2 linked regions of the Rattus norvegicus genome follow. The protein of the gene in region 1 interacts with the protein of each later gene in a pairwise test. Links are inferred from orthologs where the notes say so. Each region holds a gene or a part of one and is shown in the gene's direction. Other genes may lie near its edges.

Region 1 (4,013 bases):
CAGGCTGGCCAGTCCCCATCTCTAGAATTGATGAGCCCAACCCGGGCTGACCAGACCCCTTCTCTAGAAGCAATTAGCTTATCCCAGGCTGACCAGGCCACATCTCTAGAGGCGATGAGCCCACCCAGAGCTGACCAGATTCCACCTCTAGAGGCGATGAGCCCACTTCAGGCTGAGGTAGTCCTGCCTCTAGAAGCAATCAGTCCTCCCCAAGCAGACCTGGCCCCTCCTCCGGAAGTGATAAGTCCAGTCCAGGAAGCTTTGGCAATGTCCTCGGCGATTGCACCTCTAAAACATGTAACATGAACCGCGGGGACCAAGAATCCTACCTTTAACTGCTGAAGCAGGCTCCAGGACTGACACCAGCTCAGCCCACTGTTTTACTCTGCGTTCCTTCTCAACCCCAGTGATATAACTAGAATTTCAAATTCCTTTCCTTGAACTCTCAGTTCTAGTCTTTTTTGGGGTGTGTGTGTCTTAGATCATAATCTAAGATTTATCCTGACAAGAATCCCAGGCCAGAGGTACAACCCTGGGCTCCACATCCTCTTTTGCCTTGGGCCTTTCTTGACATGCTACTGTTGGAGGGACAAGGACATATCCTCCCTTGGATGCGGTTCAAATAAAGAGCGCAGGGTCACCTCTGTGTGTCCTGTCCTCTGTTGGTCTCCAGTGCCAAGAAGGGGGTGGGACAAGGGGGGATGGGCCCCGGATGGTGGGTTTCCAAGTGGACTTGGCTGAATTTCACATCAGTGTAGGCTGAGGACTTAGGGTCCTGCACATGAACCTTTAAACTAAACATGCTAAGGGCAGTGAAACTGACAGAAACATGGAGAGAAAAGTCACAGAAAGACTACATTTTAGTGAGGAACCTACATGTGAGGAAAGAAGGAAGGCCTGGATTTTTGGGTAATCTACACAGGAAACTGAAGTCTGGACTCTTGGATTTGAGAGAAGAGGGACCTTGCTACTGGGTTTTCCTGAGTCTAAAGGAGAAGGGAGCTGGGGCCCAGAGTCAAAAGGAGGAGGGGTGTAGATCCGGGCACCTTGGTTGGTCTAACTGGAGCTTTGCACACGGCTCCCCTCACACCCTGTTATCGCTCATCCTGGGAAGGGGAGGAGACAGCAGTATATTTAGTCTTTGTCCTCGCCCCTTATCTCAGTGTCCTCAGTGAGGCTTGAGCAGCACAGAGGGGACCCAACCCTCCAAGGTCACCAGGGACACCCTTCTAAGACCCTCCAGGAATCTGCAATCCCATTCTCTACCTCTGGAGATCAGCATGGCGGATGAGTATGTGAACCTTGGTAACCTTGAACTGGAGACCCCAAGGAACACGGTGCAGTCAGCCTTCAGGGTCCTTGTGAGGGTGCAACTAGGTTGAATTCTTGTCCTGAGATGGTAGGAGGCAAGGGTGGTTGGATTTCTGTAGAAATGAGGTAAGAATTCGGGAATCAGACTCCTGGGGTCTAAGGGAGTAGAAAAGGTAGCCCCAACCTTGTTCAGGAGGACTGCTGTCAATGATTCTATCTTCACGGTTTCTCTCCCTTCAGGAGCAGCGATGCGGTGAGCACTGTGACCTAAGAAGTGGGGTAGGGAACCCGTGGCCCAGAGAGGGTGCTGCAGGGAGAGGACTGGGGACCGATGGGCAGGGGAATCTGCAGCTAGAGGTGAGGAATCCGGGAAGGACTGGATGGGAGGGTTGGGGTAGTAATGTAGCCTGCTTCAATTTCAGGCTGGGGAACCCCAGCCGGCGCCTGCTCCTGTCCGACGTCGCTCCTCGGCCAACTACCGAGCCTATGCCACCGAGCCACATGCCAAGGTGGGGAGGGGTCCTAGAGGACGGTACTTCTGGGTTCAGAATCCTCTGGGACCCCAGGGGCGGCACCAAGGCCTTGGAAAGGGGTGGAGCCCGATGGGTGGGGCAGAATTTCAAAGAGGTACAGGTTGGGGTTGGTGACAGCTGCCTGTGGGAGAAACTCCTCTGCCTACAGCAAGGCATAGGCGTGAGCACGGTGATTAGCAGTGGATAGATAGGCAGTGTGTAGCTCTAGTCAGAGACAAAGATTGGTGGATGGGACCGAAGGACGTGGCTTCCAGTGGACTCAGCATTCTGGTTGAAGAATGGGTGAGCCGAATGGTTATGCACTTGAGTGGGTGGTGGTGCCTTGCAGCCCCGCCCAATGTCCACTTTGGGACCTCTCACTGACCTTTCTCCCTATCACCCTGGCAGAAAAAGTCTAAGATCTCCGCCTCCAGAAAACTTCAGTTGAAGGTGATGAAGAGCTCGGAGGGGTGGGCCTTGGTGGGCGGAGCTTTTGGGGAGTGGTTTCGTTTCGGAGTGCGTCAGTCCCCCTACACACACACACACACACACACACACACACACACACACACACACGTGCGCGTGCACAGAACACAGAAACGGGGAAGGTTTTTTTTTTTTAATAAAAGACACAAACTTGGATGTTTGGATATTCTGTCTCTCTGGAAGATAGCGAGATAGAGGGAAATTTGTTATTCTTATACTTTCGGGGACCCTGTTTTCGGCTCCCACCATTCCGCAGACTCTGATGCTGCAGATTGCGAAGCAGGAGATGGAGCGTGAGGCAGAGGAGCGACGTGGAGAGAAGGGCCGCGTTCTGAGCACGCGTTGCCAGCCCTTGGTGTTGGATGGGCTGGGCTTTGAAGAGCTTCAGGTATCAGTTTACCAAGCAGGAATTCCTGATGAGCCTGGGTCCCGATGTTTCTCATCTCGGCCCTGGCATCTCTTGGGTATCAGGAGCACAAGAACCATCCCCAGTTCTGCTCAGGATCTGCAATCCTTATGCCAAGCTATACATTCAGTCTTACAATTCAAAATCCAGTGTATTTTTCCTGCCTTTGTCTGCTAAGTCTCAGAATTCTTGGCTCCTGGCCATTTTTTTTTTTAAGTTCCCTAGAGTGCGGATTCCAGTGTCAGCTTCCTTTCACCCCCTCCTTCTTCAGACTCAGGAGTCCAGACCCCAGCACTCCTCTCTCAAACTCAGGGGTCCAGAGCCTAGGCCTCCTTCCTCAGACCGGGAGGTCTCCTTTCTCAGATCAGAGACCTGAGTCTCCAGCCTTCCTCTCAACGCCCATGCATTCCTTCACCAGGACCTATGCCGGCAGCTTCACGCTCGTGTGGACAAAGTGGATGAAGAGAGATACGACGTGGAAGCAAAAGTCACCAAGAACATCACTGAGGTGGGAAGCCTGGGGAAGTCTGAGCACCTTCACTGTAGACCGAGATGTCCAGGACTGTAGCTTCAGACTGAGGGCTATGTCTGTGTGTACTTTAGACAACTCTAAGCAGAAGGCAGGCAGTGGCAAAGGCAGCTGTTCCCACAGAGAGACAACACGTGCAAGGTAGAACCTGGGTGGCTTAAATCGGTCTGTAGAAACTGAGCACTGAGTTGGGCTCTGGGAATAATGATCTGCACATCATTGGGCCAGGTCGTGTTAGAGGCTTTGATTGATGGGACTCGGAGTATCAGGAAGAGCACAAAGTTGCAGATTGGAGCCTTTAATCTGGAGTCAGAGCTGGAAGAGAGGAGGAAGCTTAGATACTGAGAGCAAGATAGGGATAAGGGGGAATTGTTTGTTAGAAGCTATGGGTAGGGAGGAAGCAGAGGGAAGACGCGGTCTCCTTGCCCCATATGGTGGTTCCCAGATTGCAGATCTGACCCAGAAGATCTATGACCTGCGTGGCAAGTTTAAGCGGCCCACTCTCCGAAGAGTGAGAATCTCAGCAGATGCCATGATGCAGGCACTACTGGGGACCCGGGCCAAGGAATCCTTGGACCTGAGGGCCCACCTCAAGCAGGTGAAGAAGGAGGACATTGAGAAGGTGAGTGTGGGCTAGGGTAAGAAGGAAGATGCTTGGGAAGGTCTGAGTGGCCATAAGGTCCAGACAGAGAGCAGACACATTTGGGGTTCTAGTGAGAAGCTACGGATAAAGGGAACTCAAGAACTCAGAAGGGAGGACAGTTCATTA
Region 2 (4,030 bases), on another chromosome or scaffold:
GGTGTAGCTCAGTGGGTAGAGTACTTTGCAGCACGCACATAGCCGAGGCTTGACTTCCCACCCAGCACCCTAATCTAGCATGCCTATAGCCTCGGTGATTCGGTGATTCCGGAGACTAAGGTGAGAGGATCGCCTGAACCCAGGAGTTCAAGGGCAGCTCAGTTGACAGGGAATACTCTTTTGCAAAATAAATCAAAGGACTTAAATGGGCTTGGTATATGCCTGTAAGCCCCAGCACTCTGGAGGTGGAAGTAGGGGTGATTAGAACCTCAAGGTTGAGCTGGAGAGACGGCTCAGAGGTTAAGAGCACTGACTGCTCTCGCTAAGGTCCTGAGTTCAACTCCCAGCAACCACATGGTGGCTCACAACCGTCTGTAATGGAATCCAATGTCCTTTTCTGGTGTGTCTGAAGACAGTGACAGTCTAGTGCACATACATACAATAGATATACAATCTTAAAAAAAAAAAAAAAAAGAACCTCAAGATTAATGTTAGCTACATCAGGTGTTCGAGGCCAGTGTTCAATATATGAGATCTGGCCTCCGAAGTGGGGAATAGAGTTCCTCTGTGGATGCACGACTTATGCTCTAGGCAGATGGAATAATAATAGTTACCTCTTCACGGGATGAAGAGTAGATGAGATCACAGAATCAAGACGCTCAGCCCAGTGGGGGGACAAGTTGTGGGAGTTCACGTCGCTACCTCAGTACTGCGTATCACTTCCCCTTCTTGGGCCAAACGCCAACCCTAGGCACCCAGCGCAAGCTTAGGTGTCTTAGTCATCTGGGCTCACGCTTACCATTTCTGTCTTGGAGGACGATGTGCCTGGAGGGCCCTCGCCACCCGCCCCCACTCACATGGCTCAGAGGGAGAACAGAGTCTTGAATGGATTTTGGACCTCAAGACTGGCCTCTTTCCACTCTACTGTGCTCTTGTTCTGAACATCCTTCCCCCATTTTGGAACAAGTGTGCTGGGGGTGGGGGAGGAGCTCCCTAAGACAGTGGAGCAGGGCGGGGGCCCCCTCCTAAGAATCTAGGAGAACGTCAGAGACTGCCACCTGCTCCAAGCTTAAATTTCCCTGCAAAGGACCCTGGCTAAATTAGGTAATGGGCTAGGACTCTGGGAGGGGAGGGGCTTGCTGCCCCCTGCACCTGATTGGTCAGGGTATCCAGTTCTGGGGAGTAGGGAGGAGGGAAGAGAGGATGCCCCTACAAATCCTGAAGGCTAGAGAGATCTGGGGCACCTTTGGGTGGTGGAGTGCGGAGGAGAGGACCCACAGCAGAGGAGTCCCAGTCACCAGCAACCATGGTAAGGACAAGAAGGGTCTTCACGCTTTTGTCCACAGGCCTCTTTCAGTCCTAGAACTGTGTGCTCTGTGGGCAGTAATGTGGGTGCCTGAAGGTAGAAGATAAGGGTTGTTGGAACCCAAGTCCTGTGGAGACATCCTGGGAAGGCTGGGGGAGGGGGTCAGGATAGTCCAGGAGTTGATCCTCAAGGCTATGACTTCCTGGCCACCTTGAGGCTTGGGACAATGTTATTGGGTACCCAGAGCTGTGTGGGAAGGGTCTTAGCCTGTCTGCTCCCTAGGAGAGACGGAGACCATGAAAGCAGAAAAGTCTCCCAGCAAGGCAGACAGAGTAGGTTCCATGGGCCCAGCCAAGCCTGTGGCAACCAGAGAAGGAAGGTTTCCTCTAAGAATCCCGAGGAGAGGATGGTGGTTAGTAGGGCTGGGTGACAGGGTAGAGGTAGAGACCCTGACCATCCACAGAGGAGCCCTGATCTGGGGCTGCCACTTTCTTCTGAGTACCCTCCCGCTTCACTTGAAGGAGTAATTGGACTCCAGAGACCAGCTGCCATTGACAATGCCCAACTAAAAATAGCCTATCCTCCTGGATCAGGCCAAGGGACGGAGGAGGGAGGAGGAACTGGGCCAGCTGGCTAAAGAATGTCTTGGGACTCACCCCTTCCTCACCACCTCGAGTCCAAAGCCCTGACCCAGAGTGGCCTGGAAAAAATTCACAGAAACCTTACTTTCATGGTTACATGTGGAGCTCCAGGCCAACCCGAGCTACACAGCAAGACTATCTAAACACCCAAACCAGGACGTCGTAACAGAACAGAGGTGTCTTATTTTCACACCAACGCATGGCCCCATCACATTTGACAGTGAGAGAGGTGTTTACCCCGATGACCTAGTGAGAAGTTTTGCCCCCGAGAACCCTCTGACACAAAGCTGCCCATCTCTTCTTGTGGTCTCAGCGTCCGAGTGCTTGGTAGATGTTCTGTGGCTTTGCATTCTGCTATTTAGTTGAGGACAAATACTTATTGACCAGCTAGTCAAGTCCCAGGCAGCATTAGAAGACAGGGACATCAGAAAATCACACTTGAATAGTGCTAACACATTCAAGCCCTCTCTTACCCCCGATGTCCTATTATCCCAGCAAAGTCACAAGAAGGGTGACTTGCCAAAAGTCACTGCTGGGATGGGGGTTTCTTGATGTGGCTCTCCGAAGATAAATGGGAAACTGTGGGTATAACCAATGTCCCCTTTGCACTGGGGATGGTCACCAAGGGTACCTGGGAGGTGCAGCTAGCTTTGGAGTGGCTCTGGAGGACCTGGGGGGTGGGGCACTTCCTAATATAAGAGAGGGCTGGGGAAGCTGAAGCTGGGGTGAGAGTCTGCCCTTCCACGCTCTGATTCTCTCTGTTTCCTATAGACGGACCAACAGGCTGAGGCCAGGTCCTACCTCAGCGAGGAGATGATCGCTGGTGAGTGAGGGTGGGCCGTTGGGGGAGATTAGGTGTAAAGTTGACCATCCAACTGGCCTCACCCATCGCTTCTTCCGTCTCATCCCCGCTAGAGTTCAAGGCTGCCTTTGACATGTTTGATGCTGATGGTGGTGGGGACATCAGCGTTAAAGAGCTGGGTACCGTGATGAGGATGCTAGGGCAGACACCCACCAAAGAGGAACTGGACGCCATCATCGAGGAGGTGGACGAGGATGGTGAGCTGGGCTCCCCCAAGGCAGGGACGGGGAGGAAAGGCTCAGCACACACTGGGCTAACACCTCCCGCCCCGCCCCCGCTTTGCTCCTTGCAGGCAGCGGTACCATCGACTTTGAAGAGTTCTTGGTCATGATGGTGCGCCAGATGAAAGAGGATGCGAAAGGGAAGAGCGAAGAGGAACTGGCTGAGTGTTTCCGCATCTTTGACAGGTGCGTGGGGCTTCTGGGATTCCGGACTTGGGAGCAGATGGAGCCTGCGGGCCTGAAGCGAAGGGGCAGGCTGGCCAGGGTGAGGCTGACCCTGTGTCCTGTTCTGTTCCTCTCTCCCAAAGGAACGCAGACGGTTACATTGATGCCGAGGAGCTGGCTGAGATTTTCCGGGCTTCTGGGGAGCATGTGACAGACGAGGAGATCGAATCCCTGATGAAGGATGGTGATAAGAACAACGATGGCCGCATTGACTTCGACGGTGAGGGCTAGCTTTGTGGGTGGGACTCTTGGTTTTGTGGGTGGGGCTCTTGGCTTTGTGGCTGGGGCTCTTGGCTTTGTGGCTGGGGCTCTTGGCTTTGTGGCTGGGGCTCTTGGCTTTGTGGCTGGGGCTCTTGGCTTTGTGGGTGGGGCTGGGCTTAGGCTAAGTTTCCTCCCACTCTCTAGGGGGGCCCCTTAGGATGTTCCGCAGCTTAGTGCAATGTCCCCATTAAAGACTAGGCACCCCTCTGCGCCCTGAGCGGTACGCCTGACATCATCCCACTCTTTCTCCGCAGAGTTTCTGAAGATGATGGAGGGCGTTCAGTAAGGAGCTGGTCTTCGTGTTCATCCAGACTGCAGGTCCCCTGGGCGTGGGCAACTCCATCCTTGCCTCCTTGCCCTACCAGGGAAAGGCTGCTCCTTTGGGCTCTGTGGCTGGAAGGAATAAAAGCAGACAATGTAAAGCTGGCCTGACTGACCAGGGGACTGATTGAGGGCAAAGGATCTTAGGGATTGCCTGGCTGGATTGACGCACAGAGCGTCCCCCGGAGCCGCT

Evidence for each region.
Region 2: the proteins of Tnni3 (region 1) and Tnnc2 interact in binary tests that used the Homo sapiens proteins (3 or more experiments, as listed by UniProt). The two-hybrid records come from large-scale screens. The link is inferred for Rattus norvegicus from reciprocal best matches to the Homo sapiens genes TNNI3 and TNNC2.

Annotation. Positions count from the first base shown.
Region 1 is NC_086019.1:78,341,395-78,345,407, forward strand, and holds the start of Tnni3 (troponin I, cardiac muscle), read left to right. Parts: upstream 1-1,176; 5' UTR 1,177-1,280; coding exon 1,281-1,291; exon of another isoform or gene 1,292-1,396; coding exon of another isoform or gene 1,397-1,437; intron 1,438-1,551; coding exon 1,552-1,564; intron 1,565-1,733; coding exon 1,734-1,820; intron 1,821-1,907; exon of another isoform or gene 1,908-2,072; coding exon of another isoform or gene 2,073-2,126; intron 2,127-2,231; coding exon 2,232-2,273; intron 2,274-2,565; coding exon 2,566-2,697; intron 2,698-3,133; coding exon 3,134-3,223; intron 3,224-3,689; coding exon 3,690-3,866; intron 3,867-4,013. Other genes in the region: Dnaaf3 (dynein axonemal assembly factor 3), read left to right, coding at 1-306. UniProt on the Homo sapiens protein: Troponin I is the inhibitory subunit of troponin, the thin filament regulatory complex which confers calcium-sensitivity to striated muscle actomyosin ATPase activity.
Region 2 is NC_086021.1:173,932,523-173,936,552, reverse strand, and holds Tnnc2 (troponin C, skeletal muscle), read left to right. Parts: upstream 1-1,213; 5' UTR 1,214-1,306; coding exon 1,307-1,309; intron 1,310-2,718; coding exon 2,719-2,770; intron 2,771-2,862; coding exon 2,863-3,006; intron 3,007-3,101; coding exon 3,102-3,216; intron 3,217-3,338; coding exon 3,339-3,475; intron 3,476-3,770; coding exon 3,771-3,802; 3' UTR 3,803-3,942; downstream 3,943-4,030. UniProt on the Homo sapiens protein: Troponin is the central regulatory protein of striated muscle contraction. Tn consists of three components: Tn-I which is the inhibitor of actomyosin ATPase, Tn-T which contains the binding site for tropomyosin and Tn-C.